Nothobranchius furzeri: one gene and its partner. The protein of the gene in region 1 purifies or fractionates together with the protein of each later gene. This does not show direct contact. Links are inferred from orthologs where the notes say so. Each region holds a gene or a part of one and is shown on either strand. Other genes may lie near its edges.

Region 1 (4,617 bases):
ATGGTGTCTCGGGCATCTCTGGAGTTCTTGTGTGATTTACTGTTTAAATGGATTTTACATTTGTTGTCACACTAATTTAAACAATTGTAATTTAGATAAAGGGAACAGTGTAAATGTTTTTATAGTAAGGGGTTTTCACTCAAAAGTACACCTGTGTAGGTGTCAACTTGTCACCTAGTTTATTTTCAGTTGGCTGAAAAAGGACCCAGCCTGACTTGATGTAATTTGATAATGTGATACTTGGAAATGGTCATAAGAATAAACATTCAGGAGTTTGGGCTTACACAGATCACACCGCCAAGGAGAAAATATCCAAAGAGTTAGCTGTTTTAATTTAATCTTTGATTCTTGAAATTGGAATATCTAAAACTGGGTGAACAGACTGATTTTATATTTTATTTAGATCCAAATTTCCCCTGTGAACGTTCTTTCTTTCTACATAGGGTTTATACATTTTAAAGTGTAATGTGATTTATGAAAATCACATTCTAAGTGAAAATTCTCAACAGAATCAGAACTAAATAAAACGACATCATTTATTTAATTCACTTTAAAAATCCAAACATATTTAGGTGACAGCTGTCAGTTGGACAAATTAATTCATTCAGGTGTGATGGGACAAATCAGAATGCAAATCTTTGTTGTGTAAAATTATTTAATGTTTTAAAATATTAAGAAATCCAGCGGAATGCAGAGATATCAGTATTTTTAATCACTGAACAATGCAGTCTTTAAAAAATTGAAATGAGCTGGCATTTCATGAGTACAGGCAGAGGTGTGTCTAGGGAGTGACTTGGGGTAGCACATGTACTCCAGGTGCCACCCCACTGAGGTCCATGAAATTGATTTTATGCTGTTCACAAAGGCCTGGGGTTTAAAAACCCCAAAACATACCATACCATGTTTATTCATAAAGCACATTTAAAAACAGCATGCCAGCTGACCAATGTGCTGTACAGTATTAATAAAATAAAAGACGAGATAAAAATTCAGATAAAAGTTTTTTTTTAAAACAGTTGGTGGTAACACGTACCTTTAAGTATAGTTTATTTATATAGCACTTATCACAGACATGGAATCACAAAGTGCTTCTCATAGATCAAAACAAAGTCATAAAATCATAACGATTTCAAAACAGAAATAGATTAACATAAAAAATGAAGTCATAAATTATAAAATTTCATAAACAGATGAAAGATTACAAATTTGAGTTAAAAATAAGAAAATAAACGGTTTAGGTAAATGCAGCTTTAACATTGGTTTCTAGCTCCAGGGCCACAGAACGTTTCAATATTATCATTATTCATAATTTTTTCACTTTCACTCAGTCCCACTTCACTCCAGTTGGTGGCAGTAATGAACCAAGAAGTGACTTGCTAGGAAGAGGAGGAGAGAGAATGTGGAGCTCATGTGAAACCTGTGTGAAACAAGTGCCCCACCTGGAACCCCCCCCCCCCCACCACCACCACCACCACCATACACACACACACACACACACACATTTTAAAAGACCTGGACACGCCTCTGAACCCTGAACGCAGGAGGCCAAAACGTAGTAAATCTGCTTTAAATCCGCCTCTGAGGTGGGCGTGGCTCCTCGAGAAGCATAACGGCGTCGCTACAGAAGGTGTGTCATCTCTGCGCAGGTCCACGTTTCTCCGATTAGAAAAAACAACAACAAAAGGAGGACCGACCTCCGTGCCCTTAACGTCGTCGCCCAGGCAGCAGCCACCCTCCGCTCTGTCATTTTATCTGTAGGGGTTTTCAGCGTCACGTTCCCTGGCTGCAGGAATGTAGCGACGGGGCGCTTTAAAAATAGCATCCGCTCCTGTGACAGCGCTGCTCCGGAGGCTCCGCGGCACTCTGCTGGGAGAAGCAGGAATGCGAAGATGGCTGCAGACCTGGGAGAGCTGCTGGTCCCTTACATGCCCACCATCAGAGTCCCTAAAATCGGAGACAGGGTTTTCAAGAGCGAGTGTGCCTTTTCCTTCGACTCTCCCGTAAGTGGGTTCCTTTCTCTCTCTCTCTCTCTCTCTCTCTCTCTCTCTCTCTCTCTCTCTCTCTCTCTCTCTCTCTCTCTCTCTCTCTCTCTCTCACTCACTCACTCACTCACTCACTCACTCACTCACTCACACACACACACACACACACACACACACACACACACACACACACACACACACACACACACACACACACACACACACCGAGACTTGCTTGGGAGGCTTGTTTGGGGAGCAAATGTGTGCCTCAGGTAGAATGACTTACAGCCTGCTGTGGGGAGCCAGGAAAACACACGCTGTCGAGTGTGTGTGTGTGTGTTTGTGTGTGTGTGGCCACATGTCATGTGAACTTGACAGTAAATGTCTATATAACAGTTAAACGGGTTAATGGGGTTTTCCTTTGTGCCCCCCCCCCCACACACACACACACACTTACGAACCTGTATTTATATGTTTGTGTGTACCTCCATTGACTTCCATTCATTTAGTGACTCCACTATGCCTAACCCTAACCAATGGGTGGTTTTTTGTAACCCTAAACTAAAAGTTAACTCACCATACCTCTAAAACTTGGTGCTGCATTGTGTGGATTAAGGAAATGTCCCCACAACGTGAAAACGTCCACAAGTTATAGGTTTAAAGTCAACATTTGTCCACTTGACCATACGAGGACAAGTACACACACACACACACACACACACACACACACACACACACACACACACATTATTTTAAGATAATGTAATAACGCCACTGCAGCAATGACGTCACCAGGCTGTGTTCATTTGCAGAATAAAGTGTTTATTTAGGCATTTCTAGACTAATCTGGTTGTTCAGGCTCCCTTGTGTTAGTGTCAGTGCTTAATGGCCTCATGTGTGGACGATGGCAGCTTATTCCCAAAAATCACCCCAGGGGCTGTAATTATGTTATCAGTTCGATTTTATTCCTGACCAAATTTTGCATATTTTGGCACCCAATCCTTTTTTGGAACGATGGCAGCAGAGAAGTTAGGTGCCCGTGTGGTGTCATAACTGGAAGGTTGTGGGATCGTGTCTCACTCAGTCTGTCACATTCGTGTCTTTGGGCAAGACACTTACCGTACCAGCTGGTGGTGGTCAGAGGGACCGGTGGCACCTGTGTTCAGCAGCCTCGCTTCCATCAGTGCGCCTCAGGGAAGCTGTGGCTAAACTGTAGCTCGTCATCACCAGCGTGTGAGTGTGTGTGTGTGTGTGTGGCCGATTTTGTTGTGAAGCACCTTGGGGGGGGGGGGGGGGGGGGGGTTGTATATCAAATACAGACCATTTAACATTTTACCAGTTCCCTTTCTGTAATTAGGAAGGTAGTTACCTAACATTTGAATTAGACTGGAATTGTATGAATGTGCAGCATTGTTCTAGGTTTGTTAGATTTTTTGTGCTTTAAAAGTAACAAATTTTGCTCTCAAAGCTTTCCTCCACTATTATCTGGACTGTAACCGTTTTAAAAGGTGACTCAGCTGTCTGGAGTTCATCATGTTGGCCTGCGGACTGGTTTATTTTTATCCTCCCAGTGTTGAGGCTCATATGTCACTCTGGGCTTAAAGGTTTAACACTGGGGTTGATGACGCCCACTATACTGATTTCAGGTTTAAGGGATGCTTTCCTGTTATTTTGTCCTCATGTGAAACCTGGAGGATGTTTTCCCTTTCCCTCGGAGGCAGAGAAGTTATACGGTGCTCCACAGTAATTCATGAGAGATGTAAACTACTCACAGAGGGATTTTAATTAATAAATGTGTCTTTCTGATCCTCAGTGATCCTAAAATAAAAATGCATAATATGTGGGATGAATTTCTGAAGTTGCTTCTTTGATTACGATCTTCTCTCGTTAAAATTAACAGCTTAAAAACTTCTGAGGTGAAACAGAAGATCAGAGAGAGAGAGAGAGTAATATATGTTAGCTAAACTTGGTTGTTCTGTAAAAGGAGACACATTTTTTAGATTTCTCAGTAAAAATGATCTTCTGTTGCAGATTAACGTGAACATGCTGGGACATCTTTCCCAAATGACTGAGCTGGAAAGTGTTTTTGCTCAATTTTAAATTCTCATTCAATTGCATTAATGCCGAAAATAATTATTTCTCTTTCTTGTTTTGAACAAATAAAAATAAAAGTGACCTGATATCTTAAATACATCCATCTTTTATAAAGCAGCCTCCTCTACTGATAAGTTCATACACTTTGTACATTTTGTTTTGCTCAGCAAGAAAAAGCTCCCATGTGGAATATATAAAGTTTTTCACATGTGCTTGTAGTTCCTCACCTGACAATGTTTTGCTCTGCAGGAGTCTGAGGGAGGCCTGTATGTGTGCATGAACACATTCCTGGGCTTTGGACGGGAACACGTGGAGAGACATTATCGCAAAACAGGACAGAGTGTTTACATGCACCTCAAACGACATGTCAAAGAGGTACGTTTTGCATTGAGCCTTGAGATTTTCTTTACTGTTTACCGTACTTTTGTTAAAGACCACGTTCACTGAGAAACCGCTTTTTACTTGTTCTATTTGAAATATAATCAGTGACTCTGAGTTTCACGTGCTGGCTAAATTTTAAAATAGTCTTCTAAAAGCCACT
Region 2 (3,822 bases), on another chromosome or scaffold:
CTCACAGCTGAAACAAGCATCCTTAATAATCTGTGCATAGGAAGCTTACCGATGCTGTAGTAAAACAAAAGGTATAATAATTTATTATTAATAAAACCTTGTTGCAGCACTAAAGCAGAAAAATTAGATTTTGCAGTAAATATGCAAAATATTTACATATGAATTGTTTTAGAGCCCTTTAATTGGCAGAATCTGATATTAATTTAGTTCTTACAAAAAATGGGTCCCAACATGGTTTGTGTGGCGTTGCCATAGTGTGACGTCATAGGCACAGATCCCCTGTCCTCTTGTTTGGAAATGGAGATATGATCACCCTACATTAAACTGTCCACCCGGGCTTTTGCACTGCACAGAGACGCTTCGCTGCCTATGACTGAACGTCAGTTGAGAGTCAGTCTCATGCAGACTAACCAATGAAGAGAGGGCCTCAAGTTAAGACCCTCTCCTCATTGGTCAGTCCACACGAGGTGGGTCAAAGGTTACTCTGGGCGGGTTACGTGTTGTCAGGCATTCAAGTATTGAGTATATTTACTGCATATTACAGTAAAATATTCTGTATGTGACCACATTATGGTGATCCTTGGGTCGTGATGATGGAGCCCTTGAATATTGTTGCCCAGGGTACAACAAAGTGTTAATCTGGCCCTGGTTCCGCCGTCACATTCCCGCAGAAACTGGTTGATCACACCGGGGCCAGACTACTAGCGTGTGGTTTTACAACCACAATGTCCTCAGAAGCAAAAACGCTTTTAAAAGGGAGGGAGGAGTCCTAACTGTTGCTGCAGGCGTGTTGTGTGAGAGTGCAGTTATATACTGGTTAATATATTTTTGGGTTCAGTTGCTTTCATGTGGCCTAATGTGAGTCTATTTGGGATCATTGGAATGATCAGCAGCATTTCTTGATGTGACTTTATGGCAGTTGCCCAGGGCATCATCGCAAGGAGGATGGCATTCATTTACTTTTGTTTTATTTGGTATTTTTTCAGTCATTTTTGGAAATAGTGATCAATTTTGATTAATTCACAGCCTATGTTTAATTACATTTAAAATAAATGTCAACAGATGAGATCAAACAAAACAGATGAGAATTGCCCTTAAGCTGTTTAACTTGGACCAAGCATTTTAGGTCACAGATAGATGTAGCTTAGGGTCTCTGTCTATACACCTTATAAGACAATTTAGGTGATGGCATGTTGTTTTTCTGCTATTGAACTGTTTTCTAATAATGTTGTGTTAAATAAAGTGAAGGAAGGAGAGAAATAACGTTTCCCTAGCAGTTTTTAAAAATTTCCCCATGTAATCCGATTAATCGATTAATCGTGTCGAGACCCCATCCGATTAATCGATTATCCAAATAATCGTTTGTTGCAGCCCTACTGGACATATTCTGTGTGTCCATCCACTTTGACTAATTGAATTAGATTAGAATTGACTCACTAATAAAATTAAATCTTTGACTTGTCCTGTAACCAGTCCGAGGGAATCGTTAGAAGTCTATTTCACATAAACTTTTTATTTTTAAAGCAGGATCACCATGGCAGAACAAACGTCTGACATAGAAGTGACGGTGAAAACACTCGACTCCCGGAGCAGAACGTACACGGTTGGTTCTCAGGTAACGGCAAAGTTGCTGCTTCACTTTTACTCAGAGGTTCATAATTTTGTCTGTGTATCTTATTGTAGCTCATGATGTAATGATTGTGTTGCAGTCAAGACTTCAGCTGATGTTTAGCTGTAATCTGGTGCAGCACAGCTCTATTTGAATGATGTTTCTGTACTTGGGCACTTAAAAAGAGATAAACTCACACATTTTGTTCTATCATTTTGCAGCTGACGGTGAAAGAGTTCAAGGAGCACATTGCCCCCTCAGTTGGCATCCCTGTAGATAAACAAAGACTCATCTACCAAGGCAGAGTGCTGCAGGATGAACGGACGCTGGCAGATTACAGTAAACCTTTTGACTCCATTCAGCTTTAGCTCAGGAGATAATTTTATCCCTTTATACAGACAGAAATCAAAATTTTTGGGTTATTCTTAGTGATATGTTTCATGCTGATATTTATGTTGATGTGATTACTATGAGTGGGTTAATTACATTTGTCTCACTGGGCTGCAACTGTGGGAGACAAGTTGCAAACAAGATCCATGAAAGAGTTTTTAAAATGTCTCCGAATATTCATCAGGAATCTAAATTTCCTGAGGAGATTTCCTGCTGAGATGCTTGAAAATGAGGAAAAATGAGCAAATCAGAGTTCACACAAGTATCTCACCTCAAACCAAAACCATCTCAGTTGTTTTCTACTTCATTTGTGTGCATCAGAAGATGACAGACAGCTCTGTACAGGAGTTGGTAACCAAATTGGAATTAAAGTGGGACATGGGGTAGGGCTGTCGCAGTAACCGCAAAAATGAAATATCGCAATATGAAGAAACCCACCGCGCTGCATCATGGGCCACCGCGATTACTGAACTTGGTTCAACTCAGTGATGCATGTTGAGAAGGATGGCTGCACTGGTATCAACTTCGCTCCTTTGGGAGCACTTTGGTTTTCAGTACGTCAGCTGCTGCGCAGCCAGAGTCCTTGGCCGAGACAGAGCTGCCACCAGCGGCAAAAAATAATAATAAACGCTGGGAGACCTGCTGAAGTCCCAGACAAGCACTGCTTCTGCAACCGTCCTGAAGAGAGTTTGAGCCGAGCTGGAGCTCACTCGCTACCTGCAGGAGGAACGCATCCACCCTAAAGAAACCCCCCTGACATGGTGGAGCAACAACCGGGAGAGATTCCCTTTGCTCGCCAGAGTCGCACGCAAGTACGTGTGCGTTAGTGCAACGAGCGCACCATCCGAGAGGGTTTTCAGTGTTGCTGGAAATGTTGCCACCCCTCTCAGATCCTCTCTCAAACCGTATATGGTTAACATGCTGGTTTTGCTTGTGGGTAACAAGGACGTTACCGAGCTATAAATCACCGTCATTCGTGTGTGTGAAAGTGAAATGATAGTGCGCCCACCCCCCACCCCCCTGGCGCGCGCGCGCCCGGTACATGTAATTTTTTTATGCTTGATTTTAAACAACTAAACAAAATGTGGACTTGTTTCTTATTTGTTAGATGCTGCAGCCAAATTTGCATTTAAAAGTTTAACCTTCTCCTGAATTTTGTTGTTTTTAAGTTCAGTCGGACTCCGACTGTCGGAGAAACAAACGTTACTGCGATCTGTGTTGTTACTGCCCTTTGATCTGCATTCAGTAAAGTGTTATAAAAGAAGGCATGGCAATTTTTAACCTTTTTTAAATGTGTAAACATTATGTTTAGATAGTACTGCAATAAAAAAAAAAGGGCTGCAATAATATCGCACACCGCAATATTAAGCCACCCTGAATCACCGCAGGAGGAATTCCTCAACCGCGACAGCCCTGACATGGGGGACACAATTAAGACTCACTGTTACTAAACTGCATGGAATCCTTAGCAAAACGCTCAGTTGAAATTCTTGTGTCTTGGCTGTAATCAAAACTCTTTGCAAAGCTGTCACACCTACCCTTTCTGTGTTTAATTAGCTCATTTTAGCTGATTGTGCATCTCTGACTTGTCGCCTAAAGCTGGAGTCCAGTGAACAACTAGTGAAAAACCAGCTGACTGGAGATATTTAGCTGCTGTTTTAATCCATGAACAATTTTATGATTTCAATACTTTAATGGTTAATTTCCCCTGGTGTTCTGCTTTTCCAGACACTTAAACTGAAAATGTTCTGGTGTTTTTGCAGATGTGGGCGGAAAGGTGATCCATCTTGTGGAGCGGGCCCCGCCTCCACCCTCCCAGGCTG

Evidence for each region.
Region 2: the proteins of usp13 (region 1) and bag6 purify together in Homo sapiens (affinity purification with western blotting; 3 studies listed by BioGRID and IntAct, with this or other methods). This does not show direct contact. The link is inferred for Nothobranchius furzeri from reciprocal best matches to the Homo sapiens genes USP13 and BAG6.

The regions. Positions count from the first base shown.
Region 1 is NC_091748.1:59,240,818-59,245,434, reverse strand, and holds the start of usp13 (ubiquitin carboxyl-terminal hydrolase 13), read left to right. Parts: upstream 1-1,613; 5' UTR 1,614-1,889; coding exon 1,890-2,000; intron 2,001-4,325; coding exon 4,326-4,451; intron 4,452-4,617. UniProt on the Homo sapiens protein: Deubiquitinase that mediates deubiquitination of target proteins such as BECN1, MITF, SKP2 and USP10 and is involved in various processes such as autophagy, endoplasmic reticulum-associated degradation (ERAD), cell cycle progression or DNA damage response.
Region 2 is NC_091745.1:60,787,714-60,791,535, forward strand, and holds part of bag6 (large proline-rich protein BAG6), read left to right. Parts: intron 1-1,524; 5' UTR 1,525-1,534; coding exon 1,535-1,615; intron 1,616-1,830; coding exon 1,831-1,948; intron 1,949-3,762; coding exon 3,763-3,822. UniProt on the Homo sapiens protein: ATP-independent molecular chaperone preventing the aggregation of misfolded and hydrophobic patches-containing proteins.